4 linked regions of the Solanum lycopersicum genome follow. Each later gene encodes a partner of the first gene's protein in a complex. Links are inferred from orthologs where the notes say so. Each region holds a gene or a part of one and is shown in the gene's direction. Other genes may lie near its edges. The genes, in order: THO complex subunit 6, THO complex subunit 5A, THO complex subunit 3 and THO complex subunit 2.

The links.
Region 2: THO complex subunit 6 (region 1) and THO complex subunit 5A share a complex: the UniProt entries of both Arabidopsis thaliana proteins name them as parts of the THO complex. The link is inferred for Solanum lycopersicum from reciprocal best matches to the Arabidopsis thaliana genes DWA1 and THO5.
Region 3: THO complex subunit 6 (region 1) and THO complex subunit 3 share a complex: the UniProt entries of both Arabidopsis thaliana proteins name them as parts of the THO complex. The link is inferred for Solanum lycopersicum from reciprocal best matches to the Arabidopsis thaliana genes DWA1 and TEX1.
Region 4: THO complex subunit 6 (region 1) and THO complex subunit 2 share a complex: the UniProt entries of both Arabidopsis thaliana proteins name them as parts of the THO complex. The link is inferred for Solanum lycopersicum from reciprocal best matches to the Arabidopsis thaliana genes DWA1 and THO2.

What each region holds. Positions count from the first base shown.
Region 1 is NC_090806.1:51,842,810-51,848,041, reverse strand, and holds the start of THO complex subunit 6, read left to right. Parts: upstream 1-2,144; 5' UTR 2,145-2,432; coding exon 2,433-2,630; intron 2,631-2,731; coding exon 2,732-2,751; intron 2,752-2,836; coding exon 2,837-2,941; intron 2,942-3,489; coding exon 3,490-3,560; intron 3,561-5,232. UniProt on the Arabidopsis thaliana protein: Acts as a component of the THO subcomplex of the TREX complex which is thought to couple mRNA transcription, processing and nuclear export.
Region 2 is NC_090803.1:65,321,891-65,326,891, forward strand, and holds the start of THO complex subunit 5A, read left to right. Parts: upstream 1-1,741; 5' UTR 1,742-2,032; coding exon 2,033-2,242; intron 2,243-2,532; exon of another isoform or gene 2,533-2,718; intron 2,719-4,304; coding exon 4,305-4,595; intron 4,596-5,001. Other genes in the region: annexin D5, read left to right, coding at 525-728. UniProt on the Arabidopsis thaliana protein: Acts as a component of the THO subcomplex of the TREX complex which is thought to couple mRNA transcription, processing and nuclear export.
Region 3 is NC_090806.1:70,054,877-70,060,099, reverse strand, and holds the start of THO complex subunit 3, read left to right. Parts: upstream 1-1,733; 5' UTR 1,734-1,850; coding exon 1,851-1,913; intron 1,914-2,054; coding exon 2,055-2,150; intron 2,151-4,304; coding exon 4,305-4,434; intron 4,435-5,008; coding exon 5,009-5,100; intron 5,101-5,223. UniProt on the Arabidopsis thaliana protein: Acts as a component of the THO subcomplex of the TREX complex which is thought to couple mRNA transcription, processing and nuclear export. Contributes to the integrity of the endogenous trans-acting small interfering RNA (ta-siRNA) pathway.
Region 4 is NC_090804.1:20,332,707-20,337,252, reverse strand, and holds part of THO complex subunit 2, read left to right. Parts: intron 1-2,150; coding exon 2,151-3,311; intron 3,312-4,546. UniProt on the Arabidopsis thaliana protein: Acts as a component of the THO subcomplex of the TREX complex which is thought to couple mRNA transcription, processing and nuclear export.

The sequences.
Region 1 (5,232 bases):
TATATTAACACTACACTATTTATCATTAAATATGAGTGTTACAAAAAAAATAATTATGTACTCATTATAAATTGATTACATGTGAAATTGTAGTGGAATTGATCGTTTGATATCTCAAATAACTATCTCATTATATAAGATCAATATCTAATATAAATTATTTTTTAAAATTAAATTAACACTGCTTTATTTATTATTAAATATGAGTGTTACAATCATTAAACAATTAATTACGCATTATAAATTGATTATATGTGAAATTGTAATGGAATTGATCATCTGGTATCTCAAATAATTACATCATTTTATAAGATCACTATGTAATATAAATTGTAAGCGTAAATTAAATGAAACTACTCAAATTTTCATTAAATATGAGTGGTATTGTCAATTGAATTAGCCAATTAATTTGCTTACTTATTAAAGAAAATTTAGTAATTTCTATATAAAGTACAACAACTTTCTTACTTTTTGTGGAAAACTTCAGCAATTGCTATGAAAACTACAATAATTTTCGTACTTGTTATAGAAATTTTGAGCAATTTTTGTAAAAAACTATAACAATTCGTTTAATTGTTGTAGAGAATTTCAGCAATTGCAATAAAAAAAATATAACAACTCATTTAATTGTTGTAGAGGATTTCAGCAATTGTTATGAATACAACAATTTACTTATTGTTCGTAGCAAATTCAAATAAAATTACAATCCAATATAGATTTTCCTTTTAAATTAGTCAAAATCCTTATATTTATTATTAAGTCTAAATACATAAAATCCATCCTGAAGTTGGCAGCAAAACTTGTTTTAGTACTTTAACTTTACGGGTAATTATTTGCCCCCCTAATCTTTTTGCAAGTGAATTAAATAACACCTTACATATACAATACCAGTTTCATATACATGGGTGAAGTGCAGGCGCTCCACCTAAGTGTCACATCGATGACATGTTAGATAATTATTATTTTTTTACTTTTCCAAATCTTTTTTAAAATATTATTTTTCACTCTTCACCCACCCTCTTCATTATTTAATTTGGGTCAATTTCTTAAGATCCAAAATTTCATATTGATTGATTCATTTTATTTTTCATTGCTTTGTAATTATTTACTATTACTCCCATCAATACTTATATCAGTCACCATATATTTTTTTCAACTAGATGAAACTATCAATTCATATCAACAATGGCGATTTTAAATTTATGCAAAATTGATAAGCTAATTTTTTAGATTTGATGTTGCTTTACTTATTTCACTTCTTAATACATATTCATGTATAGATTAAGTAAGGTTATAATTAGATGAATAATTATTTTGTCAAGGAAAATCAAATCTCAAAAGTAAAGGATAAAGAAAATTATGTAGATCGTAAATGTGATTTTCTATTTTTGTATATCCAAAAAATGTATAAAATCCATCACTATTCTTTTCATCTATCACTAAAGATTCATCCCGAGTCAAAAAACAATTTCTTATTTTCATTTTTTTTCCTCTTTCCGTTATAATAATGTAGTGCAGTTAAATAGAAATTTAGTTACATGCCATCGATATCATTTTGCTAAATCAAAAATATCCATAAAATTTCTATTATCAACAAACGCCTACTTAGTATTAGTATTAGTATTCATTGGAATCTCCATTTTATTATAACTTTTTGCTAGCTTTAAAAAAATATTTGAATCTGTTCTTATTTTGATTCTTAGTTGTGGATTTTTGTGTATTTGTTGTCTGCAATTTTTCTCTCAAGGAAAACCGATCTAGATATATCCATCTTGATGGTCTCATGTCACCTCACTTTATCCCTTTTGCTTTAATCAATTCCCTTGAGATCAATGACTTTGAGGAAATAAAAATTCTCACTTTTGTTAGGACATGTTTAAAATTTCAAATTTTCAATTTGATTTTGTTTGGAGTCTTAAAAAAAAAAAAAAACTTTACTTCCGTTAGCTTGAGTTTTGATAAGAGGATTTGCCATGATAGCAAAAAATTATAATTCAAAAGTAATATAAAAATTTATATACAAAAACAATGCAATGAATCATCAACCGTTACAATCTCAAAATCCTAGCTATGAAAGAAAAGAATATTACCTTAAGGGGTAGATGACGACGATGACGAAAAAGATAAATTGAATTCGCAACTTGAGAGGAAGGCATTGAAAAGTCGTAGCAATAGAGTTGTTCGCAACAATGTACCCAAAATACACTGTTAACTTGAGAGAAAAGAAAGATAATGAGAATTGGGTTTATTCAAGTGTTTTAAAAATTTAAAAAATTTAAATATTGTATTTTAAATTCCAATTATCTTAATCTCTAATTAATTTTTTTTTTAACTCGGATCAGTAATTTGTCACCAATTTTAATTTCTAAACACTTTTTGTCAAAATCCCCTCAATTATCTCGATTCACTACACACAAAACATTACGGTAACAATGGCGACAGCCATGGACTGCAGAAACTGGGAAGAAGACATATACAGAGATTCCATTATACTCGAGAGAGAATCTCAATGTCGAACGGTCTTCCGGACTGCATTTGCCCCGAACCCGGACCATAATTCCTATCCGGACCTCATCGTCGCCGCCATTAGCGACGGCTCCATTGCGGCTTACTCTATCTCTTCTTGCCTTGTAAGCTCAATATTACAGTCTATAAAGTAGGAAAGAACGTTAATATAGGGGTTGCTCTACAAACTAATTGCTACTATTTAATTCCTTTTTCTTATTGATAGGGATTGAACTCAGCGGGCAAGTGAGTTTCTGTTGTCTCAATGTTTTCGAAGTGTTCTGGTCAGGTTTTATTTGGATTGATATTTTATTTGGTGATGTTGGTTTAGTTCATTGGTGCCAGTAGCTGAACCTAGTTGGCTGGTACAAGGACATGATGGACCTGCTTATGATGTTAAATTTTATGGTAACCATGAAGATTCACTATTATTGAGGTAGCTTTTCAGAATTTGCGTCTATCTTTCTGTACTGATAAAGCTGTAGGTAAATTTGCACAGATGGGAGATATTACAACTTTTTTCTTTTGTTTAGAATCAAAATTATGGGAAAATGTTACTTCAAGTATCTAAAATGCAGGTAAGAACTTTTAGCTTGACTAGAGCTCATATGCTATATTGCTTGGACTCTTCAAAAATGTCATTGGGTGCGTGACGAAGGATTCTCCAAAAGTAGTGTATTTTTGAATAATCTGACACAGTTGAGGCATCAAAAGTGAAGAGTCCGTGCAAGTTAGCTCATATGTTAGGGCAAGTAGAGAAAAGTTGTAAAACTGTTTCGTACGGAGGTTTTAGAGAGTTGTAGTTAATGATTGAGCTGTGAAACTATGTGAAGTAATTTTCTTTTCAATTAAGTAAGCAAGAGAGGCAATTATCTTGTGGTACTTATTACATAAAAGTAAATAAATCCTATTAATTTCACCGGTTAGTGTTATTTATTCTATCACATGTGCCAATTCTTTGTTAATATATGTAATTTCATGCAGTTGTGGTGATGATGGTCGGATTCGAGGATGGAAGTGGAAAGAAATGTTGGGATCTACGGAATCAGCACAAGGTAACATCTTTTTTGTGTGTGCAGTAATGTATCCTTGAGTAGTTTGAGATTGAGGTGTAGTTATATTGTTGTTGAATGACGGATTCTAACATCCTATTTATGAACATTTAAAAATGTTGAGCTCCTTTGCTTGGATTTGCTTCCAGTTCTAGCATCCAACACTTTTGCTGTATTGAAACTGATGCAGCTGAATGATTTGTTTGGCGGACAAACTTGTTATAATGTCCTCACATTATGAAAGTAAGTTCAGGAGGGGAAAGAACAGGGGATGCAATGTATATGTATTTGTGTCTTTCATCAGCTTACCAGATTAGAAGTTAAAAATGTCAATTCAGCAACTTCAGATTTTCAATCTGCCCCTCTTGTAGCAGTTCAGCTGATGTTTTTTTTTTCTGATGAAGGTAACAACTTATATTAGATCACAAAAAGGGCTGTGAAGCAGTATTCACAGGAGTATTAGAAGGCAAAAGCTACTATTCTAGGAAGATATCTTCTAGCAAAAAGGAAAACTATAGAGACTCTAGGACTTGAAGTAGTGTTTCAGTGTCTTCTATGTATTCTTGTTTACATTAAAAATGAAATAGCAAAATAGAATTAAACTTTATCTTTTGGATTGGGTTTCTTTTGCATTCAAAATCAAAACATCTTTAATGTCTTTCCTTCTAAATATCCCTCCATATGCATCCTGGGATTATGCTCCATCTTCTTTTCTGAACTTTGGTGCTCCCTTTTCTTCTCCAGCTAGATAGCATCTCTACTGAACTCCCTGACATAGTCCTGCTCAAGCCTACATAACCCAAAACAAATCCCAGAGTTGGGTGGTTACTCTGCAGTGCAGGAACAAATGATTAGTTGTTTCTGCAGTTCTTCCATATAAAAGACAGATAGAACATAGCTGTAGTTGCATTCTTTGTTGCTTATCCTGTATCGAACAAGCCTTTTTACAATACAAAGCAGGGCACCTTATATGGAATCATAGTCTTTCTATCTGTGCTTCCAAGGCCAAAAGTCACTAATATTGTTGCCATAAATCAGCTAGTGGTTTGCTGTTTTGATTGAGAATTCACCTGAGTTGTGGGTTTTTCCACCATAATATGTCTCTGAGGAGGGTGGTTCCAGTATATTGAGCAAGTGTGTCATAGAATTCTGCAAATCTGCTAATCTCCTATAGCTAAAATTCCATGGGAATCAGTCGGGACACGGGGAGAGATGGAAGATTGTCCCAACCTGCATTTGGTGGACTATATGGATGGAAAGGAACCAGAGATGTTTCGAAAACAAGAGCCGCTCTCTGCAGAAACTGAAGATGAACTGTCTAGTCCTTTTTTTTTGGGTGTAACACAAATATCCTCAAGAAGAGGATATTCCTAGTATTTTAGAATTTATGAAGCTTAGTAGGGACACCTCTCCCTCTGTAATTTTGTTGCAAGTATACTGGAATACTTTTCTGAGTATTCCTTTTGTTCATAATACAAGTTACCTTCTTCAAAAAAAAATAAAATTTCCAGCCAAGATTACTCCATTCACCAATTTGGCTCTTTGCTACTGATTCAGGATCTAAACCTCCATTAAGAGAAATTTTAAGGATCCAATTCAAGCCAGTTTTTTTGAAAAACGGTAATGTTGTATTCCTCAGCATTAAGGACATGCTGGTGACCTCCAAAAATTCGTA
Region 2 (5,001 bases), on another chromosome or scaffold:
AATATGGGTGTTGTTTACTTGTGTTATTTTCTCTTTACCTTCCTTGACTTAGATGAACCAACTTAACTTTAAAGTCAGACTTATAACACTTACCTATTAAATTGGTCTATATACGTATTTGGCATTTGTATCTAGTGTGTTTGGTACGAAGGAAAACATTATCCACGTATTGTTTTCCATTTTTCTCATGTTTCGTTGCTCATATTTGAGAGAACATTTTGGTAAGGATCACATTTTCCTCTAATTAGTTGAAAATGACTTCCTCAAGGATCCAAGGCAGTAATAAATTCTTCTTATTCTTGTTGTCTCTATATCTCAAGTTTGACATGGAATGGGATTCTAAAGATTTTCATGTTTTTACTATAGCATCCTTCATTGGGGGCTTCAGAATAATCTCTAGTACTTTGCTATAATCTGTGTTATCATTTTTGTCTTAGATTTAGTAAGCTATGCTAATTCTTACATGAATAAATTGTATAAACTCTGTGGCTGTACTGCACCTTACATATGTTAAATGGATTCAGGAGTTACACAAGGCAATGAAGGGCTTGGGGACGAATGATACAACTCTCATAAGGATAATAGTCACGCGAACTGAGATTGATATGCAGTATATAAAAGCAGAGTACCAGAAAAAGTATAAGAAATCTCTTAATGATGCTGTTCATTCGGAGACTTCTGGTGATTATCGGACCTTTCTTCTATCTCTTCTGGGGCCTGGTCACTGAATCAAGAGTCTACGCCATGCAACAGGTGTTATTAGTGTGGTATTAGTGTTGAAACTAGTGTGTAAGCAGTTTCTATTGTATGCTAATTATTGTTTGCTTATTTGCTGAGTAGTTGATTTGGAACAATGTCTGTCCATGATCAGTTGGATACCTTTTTTAGTTTAGTCGAATGCTAAGTGTGAATGGTGTTGTGAAGGTGCTTTCAGATGTACACTTATTTGGGTATGTTTGGTACCGGAGGAAAATATATTTTTTCCCACCTAAATTTCTCATGTTTGGTTGGTTAAATTTTTTGAAAAATATTTTGCAACATCCGTTATTTCCTGCCCTCACTTTAATAGATTTGTTGTTTGTGCGGTCAGTATTTTATATTGTTGAAAAATTAAGTTTATACTTTGTTCACTGATTATGATGGTCCAATTGAGATTTTTTTACGTATGAGTTAGAAAGTCAACTTTAACATCTCTCAACCATGTCATAATTTTATTCATCTCATTGTAATCGCGTTTAGTAAATTTTGACTGTGTATGACTGTGTTGGGTAGGCAATAATATTTATAGACTATCACGTAACTTTGACCAATCATTCCTTTAAAAAAACTCTCGAGAGCCACAAATATTAAAAGAATGGACAATAATAAGTAGTTGAAGAAAATTTGTTTTCCTATTCAATTTTAAATGCTACATAGATTGCTCTTTTATTATAGGGTGATGATTTGCTTCATATATCTCATTTTAAGGGTATTAAGTATGTTTTATACAATTAAACAAATGAAGAAAAAAAGGAAGTGGTTTGAAAATATAATTGTGTCTAATGGTAAATGATCACATTAAAAGTAGTATTAAAATTTTGAAGTCAAACTATTATTGTTGTTATTATTATTTTTAGAGCGCTCGCTACTTTATTTGCTTGTCGGAAGTTATGACGGACTATCAAATTTCCCAACAATTTTTCAAAAATTTTTGATTAATTAAAAAATAAAATATTAAAGGAAGGAATTTACTAAATTTGTATTTGTATTTTCTAAACGAGTAAACAATGTATCACATAGAAAATAATTTTTGAGTAATACAAGAACATCTTGAAACAAAAACATATCTCTTTTTAAAAAAATCTTTTGCCTAATTTTTTTTCCTTTTAAATTATGGAAATTAATGCTTAAAAAAGGAGAAAAAAGAAGGAAGCAATAAGAAGGGAAGACCGAAGCGCTCGCTCGAGCAAGAGTAAACGGATCAAACCCTAGTAACGTACACATCCAGAAGCTTAATGTACCACTTAAACCTGTAGGCAGCGACTGAGTAAAGATGAAAATGGACGTAACCATGGGGGAACCCGGTGAGATACTGCCGGAGCACAAGCCGGAAAGGTCGCCGCACGAGGTTCTGCAGCAAAGCAAAGCTTCAGTAGAGGAAATCGTCTCGAAAATGCTTTCTATGAAGAAAGAAAGCACGCCGAAATCTGAAATTCGCGAACTTGTCACTCAGATTTTCATCAACTTCGTCTCTCTCCGTCAGGTTAATATTTCATTGCATCTCCAATTGTTCCTTTTTAAAGTTCTATGAGTCCAGTTTCCAATTAAATAATCCGCTCGTCAATCCGATTTTGAAGTAGAGGTAGCATTTTGTTGTTAACGAAGTGATTAGACCAGTCAAACGAAGATGAGTTTAAGTTTAAGTATGAGCTGTTAGTACTCTAGACTCAATTTTTATATATGTATCATCCTTATGAATGTTGGTTGATGTAATTCAATGGACTCAGCTACAATACTCAGTGAGAGACTGAGAGTTGCTCTAAACCTTTGTAGGTAGATTTACCGGAGACCTGTGCTTTTTAGGTACAGCTGCCCTGGCGCTAGTTCATTTGGGACTATCATGGAGGGAGTCTATGCATAGTTAATTAATCGGATTTAGGAAACTGCGACCTTTCTCCGTTGTATTCTATTTTCATCCTGCAAAACACCTGTTAGTATTGTTTATCTTTGATCACTCTGGTTGGTAATCTCAACTCAATTTTATTTATTGAGTAGTTCTGATCTACGTGTACATAACAAACAAAAAGAACTGTATACATGTGCTTCCGTTTCTTCCTTTCTCTTTTTGGCAATTAAAGAAACATTTTATTAATTTCCAACTACCAAGTGAACTCTTTACAAAGCTAGGATGAAATATGAATTAACCAATTCAATCCTTTCTCATCTCATCTGCTAGAAACCAAACTAAATGGCAAATATAGTTAACTGCTCATTTAGTGATTCTACATATCTAAACAACATCCTACTATTCCTAGTTCTTGTGTTCAGAGAGAGCTTCATCTAAGTGTACTAGTTTCTCCTTGTGCATGGATGTGATTTGCAAAATCTGTCTGTTTCTTTCTGGCCATATACCATAAACCACCATAGTTAGACTACTTTTAAGTATCATCTTCCTTGGATCTTCGCCTCTGAAATTTTGTTGCATCCAACTCCATTCAAGTTCCCACTCCAGTATTGCCTTGATCCTTTTCTGCAATTTGCATATGTCGCTCCATATATCTTTAGTAAACTGACACTTGAAAAATAGGTGACTTCCAGTCTCGACTAAAGTGCTGCAGAAGATGCAAACAGGATATACACGAGTCCCCATCTCAAGAATAAATTTTTAGTTTTTAGCTTCCCCTGTAGACTCAGCCATAGGATGAAACTGTGTCTAGGTACAGCTATGTTATGACATAACAATTTATTTCATTTTGGTCATGGTACTAGGAAATGGAATCCTTAAATGGCGCCTTATATCACAATAATATAAGCAGCTGATTCTGTAGAGTGGGCTGCAATAAGGGCCCGGTGTCATTATGTTAATGAAAAATGGCTCGGCAGTATGTTGACGAATTGTCCCTCTATAAAAACAAGTTTTATAAGTCCAGGGACATGAGAATAGATCAAAAAACAGGGAGACTCAACCGTCTCCTGAAAGAGATGCAGCTTTGTTGAAAAGACAATTATCTCGCTTGCAAACATATCTGGGCGAGATTAAATATATGACTGGGGTACCCGATATTGTAATCAGCGTTGATCAACACGAAGATATATGGCCCTGTGAGAGTGTTATTACTTTAGGAATTCCGACAATTTGTTTCTCGAAGATTAGGTCTAGTTGTTAGGCTGTACCCTTAATATTGGAGAGTCGGTTGTATCTTCTTGTGTTTAAACTCGAATTCTGATTGAATGAAATTATTGCTTGATTGCTTTACTTCTCAAACTTGAACATGCTTCACTGCAAATTGCTCATATAATGTCTCTTAGGGTTGCAGTTATTATTGTTAGGCTGGACATATTCCATGTAAAGTTTAGATTCATATATTTTTATTTGATTTTTTGAGCTCCACACTTTGAGTAAGGTACTAATCCTTGAAATTTGTGGAACGTTTTGGGCTCTCTTATTTCATCTTACCATTATTAAGTTGTTTTAATAAACCAACGTTAGGATTGCGGAATAGCAAAATAATTGTGCCATTAAATCTATGCACGGAAGTAATTTGTGCCTGGAAATCTATAATATGTTCGACTGACTTTTTCACACTACCTTAAACGTCCCATAGGCAAATAGATCAATATTGCTCGAAGAGGATCGTGTGAAGGGGGAAACTGAACGTGCAAAAGCTCCTGTGGACTTCACCACGCTGCAGCTCCACAACTTGATGTATGAAAAAAGTCATTATGTGAAAGCTATAAAGGCCTGCAAAGATTTCAGGTCAAAATATCCTGATATTGAACTTGTTCCCGAGGAAGAATTCTTTAGAGATGCACCCTTGGAGATAAAAAACACTGTTCTGTCAAATGATAACTCACATAATTTGATGCTAAAGCGGTTCAATTTTGAGCTATTCCAGGTAAACTAGTTTAATGCAATTGGCGAGCACTTCTTTCTATTTCCGCACTAGTAATTGGCGAGCACTCCTTTCTATTTCCACATTAGTAATTGTTTACTAGTGTTCTTTCTCAGCATGTTGTGCGAAACGGAGTTGTTAGAAGTTTCATGTTGCTTGGTGAATCAAATTCTTATCTTTATTCTTAAACTCTATGTCTTTATGTACTATCATCTTTCCTTTTTTTTTTCTTTTTTTTTTTAAAGGTAATATTATAATCATCTTCTTTATTTCAATTACTAAACTGGTTCCAGAAGTAGATGTTGTGAAGAAAGTTTCATACCCAATGTTGTTACAATCAATAAAAATACTCTGAAACTATACCCAGTTTGGCTACCCTTTAGTGATGCTTTTGACTGTGGATTCTGCA
Region 3 (5,223 bases), about 18 Mb from region 1:
ATATTGTGACACATTAAATTTATATCACTTGTCATGTTATAATTATATTTATTGCCAAGTATATTATATTTAAAAATTAATCAAAAGAACCTCTAAGAAATTGATGATTTGCAATTTAATCATACAAATTTAGTATAAAATATGAAAGTAAATATATTATATATGAATTACCATGTAGATAGTTCTCTATTTTGAGATATTTTCCTCAGTAATTTATTGTTCAAAATTTATTAATATAACTAATTCAAATTTATCCGAAAAAAAAAAAAAGACAACATGGAAAAAGTTAACAACTTTTTACTGTATCACCAAAGACCATCCTTGTGCTTCACACCTTAAATTAGTGGATTTTGTGGTAGGTGGCTAATAATTTCTTTTTTTGTTTGTTTGATATTTTTGTTTATTTTTATATTATATAAAATTTATGTAACAAAATGTATTCTTTAGTATAATATTTTATCTAAATTTAAAGTTAAAATATTTAATTAAGAACTAAAATAATTTATTTTTAACTGTAATTTCTTTGAATTCTGTCAAAAGAGACTATAGCTCAGCTAAAACTTTAAGATTAACACTAATGAATTTTTTTAAAATTATTTTATAATTATAATATTTGAATAAACTGATGAATATTTTCGATTAATTGCATGAAGTATTTAATTTTTTCAATTATATGTCCTTTGAAACATATCATGAATAATTGTGTTAAATTATTCGCTATCAAAATATCATACTAGTTTTATATTATTACTCAAATATAATCTAAAAAACCCACTTTTAATTCATTACAAATTAAATATACTTAATCAAATATCACAATGACTAAAATTATGAATAATTGAGGGAATAAAAGTAGAATTATCTCTAATAGTACTCTTAAATGGATGAGATTGGACTTTCTCCACGTATTTAGGAAGTTGATTGAACCTTTTTATTTTAATATTTCTTATATTCTTTAAATTGCTTTTTTGAATAGATGGGCAAGCTACTTATTTTATTTTATATCTAATCCCCAATCACATCAATTAATCTCCAGAAAAAGTGGGAAATAAGAAGTATTATTTGTTCAAACTTTTGAATTAAATTTAAAATTATTGAAAATGTTGTCTTGCTCAAAAGTCATAATTGTACAGTTTTGACAATTATTTGATAGGTACTAATATTTTGTTATATGTATTTTTCAATTAATAGACCAAATAAATAAATAATATAAAAGATATCATTTTGATGAACACTTTGACTTATGCTTGTGAAAAAATAAAATATTGTTAAAAAAGTAAATATATGCCAGTACACACAAACATGTACAATAAATATTTCTACGATTAATTCCTTCACAATTATTAGATGAAAAAAATATCAAAGATTAATTTCCACCATTTATATTATTATTTCTATAAAATATATGAATTGTTTCTTTATAACAAAAGAATTATAATTACGGTAAATCAATGGATCTTAAATGTTATACACCAAAATAATTTATTAAAGTTGAACACTTCTAGCTCTTGATCATTGTTATAACACAAAATATGTAACTCGTTTAAATTTAAACCTTGAAATTCCCGTTTAGATGATTTTTTTTTTCTGTTTAAAAGAGGGCTCACCTATTTCTCATGAGGCAGTTTCAACAAAAATAACTACTAGCGACCATGTGTTAATTACCAAAAATGCTCAATTTCGACAGTATAAAGGACTATTTTAGACCATTCTCAAACTTAAAGGACTAGTCTATCATTTTCTAAACAGGGTTGGCATGAAACGACAATATTGTGTGTCGTTTTGTTCGTCTTCTACACAAGCAAAAAAAATATTCAGAGAAGTAAACGGAGCAAACAAGCAGAAGAGTAATGGCGGAAACAATACCCTTCAAAAATCTTCATAGCAGAGAGTACCAGGGACACAAGAAGAAGGTTTCTCTCTCTAAAACTATTCCTTCACTTCATTGTTAACAATACAACCCTAATTTTGCTTTTCCTTTTTATGAACTCTCTGATTAGATGAATTGACTATGTGATACTTTATCTTCTCTGTTTTTTTAAAAAAAATTAAAGGTGCATTCGGTGGCATGGAACTGCAGTGGCACGAAATTAGCTTCAGGTTCTGTGGATCAAACAGCTCGTATTTGGCAAATTGAGCCTCATGGTCATGTAAGCTTCATGAGCTCATCTTTTTTGTTTTCAGTTAAGTTTTAATGCTGAAAAAAGGATAGCTTTTTGTTATTGCTCTGATTTTTAAATGTTCTACTGAAGTGGTGGGAAACTGGGTGTTGTAAATAAACTGAAAAAAGGATAGCTTTTTATGATATATGCATGAACTTAGGCACCTGAGATTTTCTCTAGAGTTAAGAAGCTGGTCTCTCACTTTAGTTGTTTCTGCCAAAGTCTAGTTCTATGTGGTATGAGTTAAGGAACCTATGATAGTAATGCCTGTTGCAGTTAGGTTTAAATTTTGTTGTTACTTATCAAAGGTGGGGTAAAGTAAGCGTAACCTCACTTGTGGGAGGTCATACGAATTCGATGTTATAGATACACAGAGAGGTTTGAATTGGGAGAATGGGTAAAAAGATGCAGAAATGCTCCAGAGTTGTACAGGATGGTAAAATATCGCATGTCCCAGCTCAACGCACTTGGTGTGGAGTTATAGAAAAGCTGGAAAGGTAGCAAAGGAACATTTGGGATGCGGCGGATGGGACAAAGAAGTTTCACCTAGTGGGACGGGAGACCGTGACATCTCCTAAACAGTGGTGAGGACTTGGGGTTAAAGACTTGAAGGTTTTTAACAAAGTCCTCTTGGATAAATGGCTTTGGAGATTCGAGATGGAGGAAGAAGCTTTATGGGAGGGGTGATAGCGGACAAATATGGAGTTATGGAAGGAAGATGGAGAACAAATGTGGTTACCTTCCGAGTTTGGCATGTAGAAGAATATAATGAAGGGGTGGGAAGCCTTTAACAAAAACATTTTCTTTTAAGTTTGGGGTTGGGAGGAGACTAGTTTTTGGGGGTCAAAAGTGGTGCAGTGATTTGGTTAAAGAATGATTTCTTGGTGTTGTATAGCATTTCTGGGCAAAGGGAGCTGTCTGTTCAGCAAATTAGGGGGTGGGACCTTCTGGGATTTCCGAAATTGGGAGATGACCGATCTTCAAAGCTTTCTAGTTTTATACCATAAGCAATGCAAACCAGTAGATAGACCTGATGCTTTGAGTTGGGAGTTGGTGAATAAAAAAGTGTTCTCTATTAAGTCCTATAAAAGCTTCCTGTTAGGGTGGAAGTTAGTTTTCTGTATGACTCGGTATGGACACCTAAGGTGCTGAAGAAGGTGTATTTCTTCTTGTGGTTAGCTACTAAAGGGGTGATATTGACGGTGAAGAATCTTAGGGAATGAAAGGTGGTGGGCATAAGTTGTTGTTTCTTGTGTCAAGAGGCAGGAGAGGACATGATCAATATTTTGCTACATTGCAAAACATCTCGAGGTTATGGTAGGATATCTTTAGATGGTTTGATATTTCTTGGGCAATCCCAAATGTCTGTTGAAGTGTTGATGTTCAGTTGGAAGAGTGGAGTTAGGATAAGAAGACACAAGGTGTGAATGTTACTCCTCTTGCAGTAATGTGGGTCATTTGGAAAGAGAGAAATAGGAGAGCTATTGAAAGGGTGGAGAATTGGAGATTAGCTTTGCTCAATTGAGGAGTAGTCTCCGATCCCTTATTTTCTTTTGGTGTAATTTTTGTTTGTATAGAGGATTGAGGTGTCTTTTGGAGAACCATGTTTGGTAGGTTTCTCCTTTTGTGGTATACTCCTTTTATATGACCAAGATAGCCTTGTTATTATCAATTAAATCTTTTACTTGGTCATAGACCAGATAAATTTTTACTTTGTTAGTAGATCGAGTGCTCCATAACTCTATATCATTTGTCATTTCTCTTTATCAAGGCTATAAACATACTTTTATCTTGTTTCATAGTCGCAAAAATCCCAAGTTCCTCAACTTTGGAATTTGCATGAAGATTGAATGATATTTTGCTTCTGTTGCTCTGTATCAATACTATAAATGTACTTTTATCTTGTTTCATAGTCACAGATCCCAAGTTCCTCAACTTTGGAACTTGCATGAAGATTGTAGTATATTTTGCCTTTGCTTGCAAAAACCTGAACAATTAATAGCTTGCCACCATAAAACTACACTAAAATGATTGCGCCCTATCTATGTTTTCAATATTCTAGTCTTTTCTCATTCTTGAGAGGTGGAGTATAGAACCTCTTATGTCTGCATACACTCCAAGTCTCTGATAGCTCTTTTGCAGGGAAAGGTAAAAGATGTTGAATTAAAGGGTCACACCGACAGTGTGGACCAGTTATGTTGGGATCCAAAACATGCAGAATTGATAGCTACAGCATCTGGTGACAAGACAGTTCGATTATGGGATGCCCGTAGTAAGTTTATATTATTTTGCACCAGCAATAAGCTGCCAAAGTACTGTATGAAATAATGAGTTGGAATTTAAAGAATGTAATGCTATAAGAGCCTATGTCTATTGGTTACTTGAGGACTTGCACTATATTTATTCCCATAAAGTAATCATCCGAGAACAATATTACTCCTGTTTCAAAAATAATTGGAGGGGTCTAGCGTAAGTGGGTCAAACCTGTTAATTTCCGGTCTCAATTCATACATCAGTTTCTTATGTCTAGAACAATCTTATATAGTTAGAAACTGGAAAAAAGAAAACTATAAATTACACATTCTAATATGAAAATATTTTTGGTCAAAGAAAAGGTTATTTGACTGCTTAGAAGTATGTCATGTAAAGTGGAACCCAGGGGGGTTGGGTATGAGTTAGGTAACTCTACATGCACTTTCTTCTTTATAACTACTAATCAAAAACTCTACGTACACTTTCACAGCCTAGTTTCCCGTCAATTTCCAGGAAGTTGAAGATATTCATATGTTTTTATTTATTGGTCAGGGTGTTGCAGATGCTAAAACATTTTGGTCTCCATTTGGCAGGTGGGAAATGCTCACAGCAAGTTGAACTCAGTGGGGAAAATATCAATATCACTTACAAGCCTGATGGGACACATATAGCTGTTGGGAACAGGGTACTCATTATTTCTGTCATTTATTAATTCCTAAAATAAGCACTTCTATATTCTATTATCTTAGCTGCTTATAGATATGTATGTAGTCAAAATGAGTGCAGACAAAAACAGAAATGTATCTTA
Region 4 (4,546 bases), on another chromosome or scaffold:
AATTTCAAATTTTGTGAGTGTCTTTAGATTTTGACGCATGGGAGCAGTTGTCAATTTCAATTCTACCATTCACAATTCACACATGATATATTATACATTATTATATTGAATTTAATCCATTAAGTTGCTTGCTTGATTTTCTTCAATAATCTGCCATTTTAAATTCGTTTTAGCTCTAAATTTCATCTTTATACCAATTTACTCCCTACAAATAAAATATACTATTAAACACGGTTCATAAAATTAATGCACAAAAAGGATAAATAAAATTACTAAATATGTGGCAAATAATGATTAAAAATATACATTTTTGGCCTTACATCAGTTACTGAAACTCTCCCTTAAAAACTTTAAGTTCTTCGCATTAGGCATGCGATATGATGCCATGACACTGCATTGGACTCGATTTCGTCATTCCATTTTGATACTTTAACCACTTAACACTTGAATATAGTTTCCATCTTGCACCATGCACATATGTTAACATGTCCCAATGGTCCCATCCACCACGCGTGGGTCCAAACATACATCGGGGTTATTTTAATCAGGTTATTCGGTTCATTATTGACCCGAATCAACCTTTACCATGGGTTTACATATAAGTTGTTTTCAATATCATGTCAAGATTTTGGCCGCTTGATATTTCAAATGGGTAAAATGTGGGTTTCTACCTATATTTAACCCGTAATTGTATGGGTGAAAATGGGCTTGCCATGTATGGGTTTAATTCGTAAGTTGCAGACACGACATATGTGTTCCATACAACCTATTTCAGTTATCCCTCAACTTGCTGCACTTCAACACTTCTAAATCGTCATTGAAGATGCTTGCTTCAACAGTTCAACCTGTTTGATCCTCTCAATCTCATCATAGTGATTCTCTGCATCTAGTGGGACCAAACTTCTTTTTGTTGTTTTTGAGGGGGATTAAATTTTTTTGAAACAAATGTATAACTTATATCGGTGTTGTCAAAAAGCGGTTCATGCAAAAAAGGTCATAGATCCTTTGGGGATTTAATTGCAAATTAATTGTGGGCTTAATTGAAAAAAATACAAATTGAAGAAAACTACGACTATGTATATGTAGTCCGAGATTAATAATCGTAAGCATGGATAATAAATATATGGACAATGAAATTTTGAAAAATATAACAATAATGTGAAATACCAGTTGTTTAGTGTCACATCTTTAGGATTGCACTCATTAGCAAGGAAAATTATGCCCCGGAGCTTTGATGACGACACTGAAGTGCCCATAAAGCGTGTGTGTGACTAAGCGCTCGACATGTTCTATGCTTGTAGCTTAAGAGCGCCTTTGAGAACACTGACATATACATAATGTGTAGTAGTCTAGTAGATGGCTTAGTAAAGTCATTGAATAAGAAGCACGTGTTCTACTTGTGAGGAGACAATGGTGGCTCAATTATTCCTAAATTATCTAGTAATTTTTTTACTATGCTCCATTATTTTATTAATACTGTATATGCTTGATTTTTGTTAAAAAAAAATAATCACCTTTACTTTATAAATAAGATATATTAATTATCCTATAGATTAGACCACAACAACAATATACCATGTATAATCCCACCAGTGGACTATGAAGAGGGTAGAATGCACATAGACCTTTGGAGGTAGATAGGTTGTTTCCGGTAGACCGTCAGCATAGATAAGTCCATAATGTTAATTAGAAACAGAAAGTATCATAATATTTAAGAAGTACAAAAAAGAGCATAGATTGATAATTCAGGTAGTTAAATAGGTATTTGGACAGTGGAAAATCTAAAATATCTGGTTGAGTGTGCTATCAACATAGTTAAGTGACCTTTTGAGTTTTGAGTCATAGACTCATTAATTAATTCATATTTTCTTAGTTTTTTTAGCAGGAACTTTTAAGCAGAAAATGAATTTTAATAATGTTTGAGATTTTTTGAAAAAATGAAGATACAAAGAAATGGGTTAGACTCTTTTTTTACCCAACTCAACCCGCCTATTGCCACCCCTAATTGTTAGTGTGTAATATGTATTATGAAGCTTTGCTTTCCTTTTCGATGAATCTTTCTGCAGATGATGGATCCTTCCATTATTTAGTTGAGCAGTTCTCTTTTGTTAACTTGTTTGAACTTAAAAAATATTCACCCTTTACTGTAGGGAAGAGGCACAGGCAAGCGATCTACTCCGGTTGGATCTCTGTCAAAGCAACAAAAACATGATATTGCAAAAGATGAAAAATCTGGGAAAACTGTTGGAAGAGCATCTGGAGCTGCTTCTGGTGATGTTAGTTATCCTTCTGAGAGCAGAGCAAGTGGGAGTGTTAATGTTTCTACTACAGTTTCAGGGAACGGTAGCATGTTTTCTGCTGCACCTAAAGGTGCAGCTCCATTGACGAGATTGTTAGATCCTTCAAACGAATCTAATGCTGAACATACAACTACTAAATCTGCTGATCTGAGGGTTTCTGCTGGAAAAGATGATGTCACTGAAAGTTCTGATGTGCATAAGGAGTCCACATTGCGTCTGGTTCATTCGCCTAGACAAGATGCTTCTAAAGCTAATGAAAAAGTACAGAAGAGATCTATTCCCGCAGAAGAGCTTGATAGACTGAACAAACGCCGGAAAGGTGAAATTGACGGTAGAGATACTGAATGTGCTGATGCTCGTTCATCGGAGAAAGAATGGTTAATAGATGCACGAGCTGCAGATAAACTTCATCCAGCAGATTATGATAAACATGGATCTGATGATCAAATATTGAACCGAGCCTCTGAAAAGCCTCTTGATAGATCAAAAGAAAAGGGTGGTGAAAGACCTGAGAGAGACCCCAGAGAGCGAGGGGACCGTCCTGATAGGTCTCGCGGTGATGATGCATTTGAAAAATCAAGAGATAGATCAACGGAGCGGCATGGAAGAGAACGTTCAATTGAGAGAGTACATGAGAGAGTTGCTGATAGGAACTTTGATAGGTTGAGTAAGGATGAAAGGATCAAAGATGATAGGAGCAAGCTGCGACATAATGAAGCATCTGTAGAAAAATCTCTTACAGATGATCGGTTTCATAATCAAAATTTGCCTCCACCTCCACCACTGCCTCCTCATCTGGTCCCGCAATCCATTAGTGCAGGCAGGAGAGAGGACGATTCTGATAGACGTTTTGGAACTGCCAGACATAGTCAAAGACTTTCTCCAAGGCATGATGAGAGAGAGAGACGGCGATCAGAAGAGAATAACGCATTGTTGCAGGATGATTTGAAGAGAAGGAGAGAAGATGATTTTCGAGATAGAAAGCGGGAAGAGAGAGAACTTTCAATTAAGGTAAGCCTGATTCACATTTCATGCATAATTGTTCAAGATAGAGTAGACAGTGAAATTGTTGATGTTATTACGTCATGCCCACAATTATTATTGAACTTTAGGAAAGTCACTGGAACTGAATATATACTATTATGATAGTTTAGAATTCCATCATCCTTGAGACTGATAGGTATACACATTTTCTGTCTGTATAAAAATAGATATTCTACTCACTCGTTGCATGTTATTCTTAATTCTGACATTCTAAATTTGGGAGTTCCATTTGAAGTTATTCCCATTTGCTCATACTTTTTTGAAAAAAAATCTTTGATCGTTATTCAAAGTGTGTTTTGGCTATATATCTGAGATCTAAATTTAATGTTTCTAAGCAAGCATCAAAATGGAAGTGAAGCCTCGTGAAAGAAACAACATGTTGTATTGTCAGTCTGTCTCCTTTCAAGGGGCCATTTCCTTTTTTAAAGTCCTGCCCTCTATATTTGACCATTGTTCTTAAATTGAAGAAGTTTTCCGTTTCAAGAGTGCACTTCATTTCAAAGATGGTATCAACACATGAAGATTGATGAAGAATACATTTCTAACATATACTCTTTAGCGTTATCGCTCCTTAGAATATGCACTGAAGCATTGAATTGAGTTTTGGCTTCAGCACATTCAACACATAAGCTGGCAAACTACACAGGACTTTGCATAAAATTAATGGAAAAGGATTAAAATGCCCTTAAATTATGGAAATTCAACAAAAATGCCCTCAGTTAATAGTATGGTCCAAAAATGCCCTTTGCATCAATAGATTGGTCAAGAAATGCCCCTACTACTAATTGTTTGGTCAAAAATTGCCCATATTTTTAACTAATGGGTCAAAAATGCCTTTTTCCTGGTTAATGCGTTAGAATCTTTTTTTTTTTTTTTGGAGTAAGGTAACATTTACTTCTATATATCCACAGGTATACTACATCAAATTGTAGTTCCCCTTCAAAATTTCATACTTGCATCAGCCCTAATATCTTCTAGTTAGAGCCAGAATAACATTAGAAACATCTTCAGAATTTCCTATTGCTACTTGCTTACACCAAAAATAATAAAGACCTAGGCAGTTTATCTTTGTTTTTTGAATATTGTTGTTCTTTCCTTCAAAACATCTTTGATTCATTTCGTAACAAATTGTCCACCAAATGCATGCTGGGACAATCCTCCATCTCTCCTCCTTTTTTCCTGCATTTCCATCACTATTCCAT